Macaca mulatta: one gene and its partner. Each later gene encodes a partner of the first gene's protein in a complex. Links are inferred from orthologs where the notes say so. Each region holds a gene or a part of one and is shown in the gene's direction. Other genes may lie near its edges.

Region 1 (4,175 bases):
TAGAGTAGTGATTTTAAGAGGGCTGTTTTATAATCTCAAATTTTGTATAATATGAAAAGTGGTATTTTTCGATATTCATTGATTTAAAAATATGAAATTCTGTAAATTCAGAAACAAAGATAAAATTTTTGTATTTGTTAACTCAGGATGTAGTATTTGTTTAAGAAATTACTATGCTTGGAATTCATTTGGATTCATGAACATATTACAATAACTGTCTTTCCCAACAGTTAGGATCAGTAACTGAAATGTTTGTTAGAACTAAGTCCTGCAATTGGAAAAGAGAGAATCATCAAAATTTTAAATTAGTTAATTAGTGGTGAAGCTATCTTTCCATTTGATATTAGGGAGATGAAGATGAAGAAATTGATGGAGATACCAATAAATATAAGAAAGGACGTAAGAAAGCAGCTTATGCTGGAGGCTTGGTTTTGGACCCCAAAGTTGGTAAGGCTGGGCAGTGAATTGGTTTTCTCCCAATATTAAGGAGTTTCTTAATGTGGATCTAGGCTTGAGAAACTAGAAGACCTGAATTATATCTTACAGGTCAGCAAATAGGTCTCATGACTTTTATCTTTCATTCATGTGAAAATCTTGGTTGCCAGTCACCTGACATAGACTTAATGTGAATTTTGTTATGCTGTGTTCCAATGAAATATTTATAGACATTGAGATTTAAATTTCATATAGTTTTCATAGGTCATGAAATACTGTTTTTGATTTTTTTCCAGCCATTTAAAAATGTAAAAACCATACTTAAGCTCATGGATGGTACAAAAATAAGCAGTAGGTTGGGTTTGGTCTGTAAGCGTAGTTTGTCCAATAGATAGGTAGCTGTCCAGTACATAGATAGCTGTTTGTCCTGACCAGTTCAGTTGACAGCAAAGTTAAAGAATACAGACAATAACCACCAAATTTAACTTTAACAGAATACCTTTTCCCTATTGTCATGAATGGCAAAGATGTTTTGTGGTACACAGAGCTAGAAATAATCTTTAAAAAAATAAAAATAAAAAACTTTTTTTTTTTTTTGGAGACAGAGTTTTACTCTGTTGCCGAGGCTGGAGTGCAGTGGTGTGATCTCTACTCACTTCAGCCTTCACCTCTTGGGTTCAAGTGATCCTCCTGCCTCAGCGTCCTAAGTCGCTGGGACTACAGGTGTGTGCCACCATACCCAGCTAATTTTTTGTATTAAAAAAAACCATTTCATCCATTCCCAAGTGTACAGTTCAGTAGTAGTGTTAAGAATATTCACATTGTTGTGAAGGAATTAATGTGAATTTTATCCAGTAAGTTAATTCTGAATAGGAGACATTTTTGACAAAAGTGATTTTATTATTAGTTATAATGAAATGGAGCACTAGTACTTGGTGTTATGTAGGTCTGGGTTTGAATTCAGTGTGATCTTGGACTGCCTGTTTAACCTCTGTAAGCTTCAGTTTCTTCTGTAAAATAGAGATAAGAGTAATATCTACCACACAGGGATTTAAGGATAAATTAGTATGACACTGGACACAGAATAAACTATCTTATGTGTTTGCAATTATTACTGTCTTAATAGTGGACATTTATTTTTATTCAGTTTCTTCTCAAGGTGAAGATAACTCTTTGTAAATGTCCTACAGAAATATAGTAGCTTTCTGTTCATCCTTTGCAAGTAAAAAGGGTGGGTCGTTCCACTACTGACATTTATATATATGTGTCTCTTGTTTGATTTTAGCTCAGTTTTTGTACAGGTTTAAGTGTGCTGTCCATTTTATATTTTGAAGCTGTTGTAAAAGAATAAATTACTCGGCCAGGCATGGTGGCTCACACCTGTAATCCCAGCACTTTGGGAGGCTGAGTCAGGCAGATCATGAGGTCAGGAGATCGAGACCATCCTGGCCAACATGGTGAAACCCCATGTCTACTAAAATACAAAAAATTAGCCGGGCATGGTGGTGCACGCCTGTAGTCCCAGCTATTCGGGAGGCTGAGGCAGGGGAGTCGCTTGAACCCGGGAGGCGGAGGTTGCAGTGAGCCGAGATTGCGCCACGGCACTCCATCCTGGAGACAGAGTAAGACTCCGTCTCAAATAAATAGATAAATAAACAAACAAACAAACCACTCACTTGGTTTTATTTGGGGTGGGAGTGGGAGAGTAGGTAGGGGAATTCTTCAAAGAATTCTTGCTTTGAAGGAGAGTTGAACTTTTTTTTTTTTAAATGGATGTGACACCTCTCAGATACCTGATTGGGAAGGTATTTGCTCATGATAATGGTGTGCTTTGGGGGCAGCTGGGGAAAGGACTGGTTGTAGCTGGTTCTAAAGAGAGACAGGATCTTTTTCTCCCTCTTTTGTGATCTGGCTTTTCACTAATTCGCATTATTTTATAGAACAGTAGTTGATTCTTTTTTTCCCTTTTTGTCTGTCTCACAGCTCTGGATAGTGTATGTGGATAGTATGTAGTTTCTAATATACTTATAGTGCTTTTAATAATGATGTTTTGACAATTCTGCTTTTCTTTAGACTTTTTATGACGTGGCTTTTTAATTTCAGGTTTTTATGATAAGTTCATTTTGCTTCTGGACTTCAACAGTCTATATCCTTCCATCATTCAGGAATTTAACATTTGTTTTACAACAGTACAAAGAGTTGCTTCAGAGGCACAGAAAGTTACAGAGGTTTGTATTTAACCTGGGACTCTTGAAATCGAGTTTAAAAGAATTGCTTAAAGAAGGAAGATCTGTGTCTTTTTAAAATAGTTTTATTGTGGTATTATTCATATACCAGATAATTCACCTGTTAAAAGTGTGTAGTTCAGTGGCTTTTAGTGTATTCCCAGAGTTTGCAGCCATCATCACAACCAGTTTTAGGATATTTTCATTATTCCCCAAATAAACCTTTTAGCTGTCACCTCCCTCAATCCCCTATCCCTTCCATCTCTAGGCAACTACTAATCTTTTTGCTTGTATAGATTTGTGTATTCTGGACATCTCATAAATAGAATCATACAATATATGGCCTTTCGGTATCTGGCTTATTTCACTTATAATGTTTTCAAGGTTCATCCATTTTGTAGAATGTACTAGTACTTTATTCGTTTGTGTTGCTGAATAATATTCCATTTTATATGCATGTGTGGTGTATGTGTAGGTGTATATACATATACAACATTTTGTTCTTTTTTGTAATTTTTTTAAATACATGGCAGAAGATGTCTGGTTGCCCTCTAGCTCCTGAATTTATATGTCCTTTAGTTCTCACCACAAGCTTAGGACCTGTTTTTCAATCTCAATTTCATATTCCCAGAAGAGAGAATCCGATAGGTTTGCCTAGGTTGGTTAGCGCCCCAGGTCCCTGTTACCTGTGACCACAAGAGTAGGTTCACAGGGTACAAATCTGGCTGCTAAGGGTGGGCCTTTCTGTGGGACTAGTGGATACTTTTACAGAGAAGATACTGGGTAGACATCCCCAAAAGGTATGACTGCATTCAATTAATATTTGAGCTCTGCTCTGCTACTGTGCCAGCATGGTGATAATTAATATTATTTAGCCTCTGCCCACCACCATTTTGCTTATTGGAGCTTTACAGCTTGGATTCTGGATATATAATAGAATCATTTTGAGGCCGGGCGCGGTGGCTCACGCCTGTAATCCCAGCACTGTGGGAGGCCAAGGCGGGTGGATCACGAGGTCAGGAGATCGAGACCATCCTGGCTAACACAGTGAAACCCTGTCTCTACTAAAAATACAAAAAATTAGCCGGGCGTGGTGGTGGGCGCCTGTAGTCCCAGCTACTCAGGAGGCGGAGCTTGCAGTGAGCCCAGATTGTGCCACTGCACTCCAGCGTGGGCAACAGAGCGAGACTCCGTCTCAAAAAAAAAAAAAAAATAGAATCATTTTGGAGTTGGAAGGGACCTCAGAGGTCATCTAAGAAATACTATACATGTAGCAATTTATAGATCTGAATCATTTTCATGCATGGTACCTCAGGACAGTTAGGGTCACACAGGTAGTAGTTGTAGAGCTAGGAGTAGATTGTAAATTTCCTGACTCTACATCCTTTCAGTTTACTTTTTATCTGACTTTCATAGTTGCTGTAAATAAATTGGAATGTGTACCAGGATCTCTTTAATAGATTTACTATCATCATCTTATATTCGAAAACAATAGGTCCCTATTACTATTGTAAG
Region 2 (4,175 bases), on another chromosome or scaffold:
TCTCACTCTGTCACCCAGGCTGGAGTACACTGATGCAGTCTCGGCTCACTGAAGGCTCAATCACCCAAACTCAAGCAATCCTTCTGCCTCACCCTCCTGAGTAGCTGGTACTACAGGCACATGCTACCACAGCCAGCTAATATTTTGTAGACAGGGTTTTGCCATATTGCCCAGGATGGTCTTGAACTCTTGAGGTCAAGCAATTCACCTGCCCCAGTCTCCCAAAGTGCTGAGATTACAGACATGAGCCACTGCACCCAGCCTCATGTCATTTTTGAGATATGTTAAATTCTGTATGGTATCCTAGGAGGGGTTAAAAGAGTAGAATAATTTCTATTTTATTTCCAGAATGCTTTTTAAAGGTATCTGACATGTGGGCATCTGTATTGATCTCAATTAAAAAAAACTAAGCTAATGTAAATATAATATTTCCATCTATTTTGTTCTATTTTCAGGACTTATTAAATCTGAGATTGTCCTGAACTTAAATATGGAATATTTAAATATACTTTATTTCTAAATATAGAAATAAAAGTAGGGATAAGAGCAACTGGGAAATAGCTCTTATTGAAACAGTCTTCACATTTGCTTTTTGGTGTTTTTGGTTTTTTTTTTTTTCGAGACAGAGTCTCGCTCTGTCACCCAGGCTGGAATGCAGTGGCGTGATCTTGGCTCACTGCAACCACCGCCTCCCAGGTTGAAGCAATTCTCTGCCTCTCCCTCCCAAGTAGCTGGGATTATAGGCACCCGCCATCACGCCTGGCTAATTTTTGTATTTTTAGTAGAGACGGGGTTTCACCATCTTGGCCAGGCTGGTCCTGACCTCCTGACCTCGTGATCCACCCTCCTCGGCCTCCCAAAGTGCTGGGATTACAGGTGTGAGCCGCTGCACCTGGCCAGTTGTTTTCTAAAGAGAAGTAAAAGGCATGCTGGACATGGTGGTTCACACCTGTAATCCTAGCAACTCAGGAGGCTGAGGCAAGAGGATTATTTGAGGCCAGAAGTTCAAGGCCAGCCTGGGCAACACAGTGAGACCCCAACTCAACAAAAATTGAAAAACTGGCCAGGCCAGGTGCAGTAGCTCACATCTATAATTCCAGCACTTTGGGAGACAACTGAGGTGGGAGGATCACTTGAGCCCAGGACTTCAAGCCTGCAGTGAGCTATGACCATGCTACTATACTCCAGCATAGGTGACAAAGTGAGACCTTAACTCTAAAAAAAAGTAAGGGCACAGCTAATGTGAAAGTACTTTAATTTATATTTCTAAATACGGTTCTTAACAGATAAGTTTAACCCTTTGTCTAAGCCTTAGATAAAAAATTTTAGGCTGGGCACAGTGGCTCACGCCTGTAATCCCAGCACTTTGGGAGGCCAAAGCGAGTGGATCACCTGAGGTCGGGAGTTCGAGACCAGCCTGACCAACATGGAGAAACCTCGTCTCTACTAAAAATACAAAAAATTAGCTGGGCCTGGTGGCACATGCCTATAATCCCAGCTACTAGGGAAGCTGAGGCAGAAGAATTGCTTGAACCTGGGAGGTGGAGGTTGTGGTGAGCCGAGATCTTGCCATTGCACTCCAGCCTGGGCAACAAGAGTGAAACTCTGCCTCAAAAAAAAAAAAAAAAAAAAAAAAAAAAAAAAAAAATTTGACGAAAAATAACTTATAGGAGAGCCTATAATGATTTATAGTCCACAATCATCAGTTTATAACTTTTGCTTCTTACAGGTCGCATATCTGTGCCTATTGATTTGCAGAAAGTGGACCAGTTTGATCCATTTACTGTTCCAACCATAAGGTATGTTTCAAATCATTGATCACTCCTTGTTTGTAATTGTTGTTCTGAATTTTAAATAAATTGGATTAGCCTCCTTCTTAGAGAATTAGTTGCATGGGAATGGTATATTTGGTTAGGGAAACCAAATAAGGTTCAAAGGTTAGATGATGATGCCCTAATAGAACAATACAAGCTTTTCACCTGCTGTTACATAAGAAAAAGATTTTAAGGTCAAATAAATTTAGGAAATTCTGACTTAAACAGATTAAAAGTATCTTTTACTACAGTATTTCACAGTCTTTCATATGATAATATGCATGAAAAACTCCAAGAAGAGATCATGCTGTTTAGAATATCCCAAATTTAAGTTGACCACATAATTTTTTTACAGTAAATTTTATGGGATTCACATGCTATTATACACTGGATAATGCTGACCAGAAACCAACATTAAACTTCTCTTGTTCGTGGCCAGGCACGGTGGCTCATGCCTATAATCCCAACACTTTGGGAGGGCAGGGTGGGCGGATCACAAGGTCAAGAGATCGAGACCATCCTGGCCAACATTGTAAAACCCCATCTCTACTAAAAATACAAAAATTATCTGGGCTTGGTGGCACATGCCTGTAGTCCCAGCTACTCGGGAGGCTGAGGCAGGAGAATCGCTTGAACCTGGGAGGCAGAGGTTGCAGTGAGCCAAGATTGCACCACTGCAGTCCAGCCTGGCAACAGAGCGAGATTCCATCTCAAAAAAAAAAAAAAAAAATTATCTTGTTCTGTTACTTGCAGCTTCATCTGCCGTGAATTGGATGCCATTTCCATTAATGAAGAGGAAAAAGAGGAGAATGAAGCTGAATCTGATGTCAAACATAGAACCAGAGGTAAGATAATATATTGAAGCTTCACTTTAATACAGGGTTTTTATATAGATATCCATCTGTCACTCCAATAATTAATTCTCTGATTCAGCCAGAATGGATCAGCATTTGTCCTGGAACTGCATACAATGTTTGTGTCCTTTCTTCAGCAGTTACCCAAGTGGTGTTACTGAATCCAGTCTGATTCAACACATATTTCCTAAACAACTTCTAAATGCTAGGATCTATACTGTAAGATTAAACTATCAATAAGTATGAATAATCAGTCTCTGAGATTCACCACCTATTTATTTAACAACTATTATATATGCAGTACTTTTGCTCTTTGTTTCTGATGCATATAGGTGGGTTTTATGGTAAACATGTCTAAACTGTTTACCGAGTTGTATATTCAAGAATTTGAAGAAGCTGGCTGGGCGCAGTGGTTCATGCCTATAATCCCAGCATTTTGGGAGGCCGAGGCAGGCGGATCACTTGAGCTCAGGAGTTCAAGACCAGCCTGGCAACATGGTGAAACCCCGTCTCTGCTAAATATACAAAAATTAACCAGGTGTAGTGGAAGGCGCCTGTAATCCCAGCTAGCCAGGAAGTTGAGGCAGAAGAATCGGTTGAACCCAGGAGGCAGAGGTTGCAGTGAGCCAAGATTGTGCCACTGCACTCCATCCTGGGCAACAGAGGGAGACTGTCTCAAAAAAAAAAAGACAAGAATTTGAAGAAGCTAAGGAATTTCTATATCTTCTTGCTAATGGAAGGCAAATCTAACACCTAAGAGATACTGCAGGCCAGGCACGGTGGCTCACACCTGTAATCCCAGCACTTTGGGAGGCCCAGGTGGGCAGATCACCTGAGGTCATGAGTTCAAGACCAGCCTGACCAACATGGAGAAACCCCGTCTATCCAAAAAATACAAAATTAGCCAGGTGTGGTGGCACATGCCTATAATCCCAGCTGCTTGGAAGGCAGAGGCAGGAGAATTGCTTGAACCCGGGAGGTGGAGGTTGTGGTGAGCCAAGATCGCGCCATTGCATTCCAGCCTGGGCAACAAGAGTGAAACTCCGTCTCAAAAAAAAAAAAAAGAGAGAGAGAGAGATGCTGCATAGCAGCACTTCCCAACCTTTTTGGCATCAGGGACTGGTTTTGTGGAAGACAATTTTTGCACGGACTTCAAAGAGATGGGGAGGAGTTGGGGATGGTTCCAGGATGAAACTTTTTTACCTCAAATCATCAGGCATTAGATTCTGATAAGGAGTGCACAACCTAGATCCCTCACATGCGCAGTTCACAATAGGGTTCATGCTCCTATGAGAATTTAGTGCTTCTGCTGATCTAACATAAGGCAGAGCTCAGAGAGTAATGCTTGCTAACCATTCACCTCACATCTGTAATCCCAGCACTTTGGGAGGCTGAGGCAAGAGGATGACTTGAGCCCAGGGGTTTGAGACCACCCTGGGCAACACAGAGAGACCCTGTCTCCAAAAAAAAATTAGCTAGACATGCTGGCATACACCTGTGGTCTCAG

Evidence for each region.
Region 2: the proteins of POLA1 (region 1) and PRIM1 are in contact, whole or in part, in a cryo-EM structure (PDB 7OPL), measured with the Homo sapiens proteins. The link is inferred for Macaca mulatta from reciprocal best matches to the Homo sapiens genes POLA1 and PRIM1. Residues at the interface, in NP_058633.2 of Homo sapiens: Tyr439, Ala440, Pro447, Glu448, Lys449, Ser450, Phe876, Thr877, Thr878, Gln880, Leu906; in NP_000937.1 of Homo sapiens: Asn92, Thr93, Val94, Lys95, Leu96, Gly97, Ala98.

What each region holds. Positions count from the first base shown.
Region 1 is NC_133426.1:24,558,119-24,562,293, forward strand, and holds part of POLA1 (DNA polymerase alpha catalytic subunit), read left to right. Parts: intron 1-347; coding exon 348-447; intron 448-1,561; exon of another isoform or gene 1,562-1,691; intron 1,692-2,538; coding exon 2,539-2,663; intron 2,664-4,175. UniProt on the Homo sapiens protein: Catalytic subunit of the DNA polymerase alpha complex (also known as the alpha DNA polymerase-primase complex) which plays an essential role in the initiation of DNA synthesis.
Region 2 is NC_133416.1:63,911,655-63,915,829, reverse strand, and holds part of PRIM1 (DNA primase small subunit), read left to right. Parts: intron 1-1,729; coding exon 1,730-1,799; intron 1,800-2,567; coding exon 2,568-2,659; intron 2,660-4,175. UniProt on the Homo sapiens protein: Catalytic subunit of the DNA primase complex and component of the DNA polymerase alpha complex (also known as the alpha DNA polymerase-primase complex - primosome/replisome) which play an essential role in the initiation of DNA synthesis.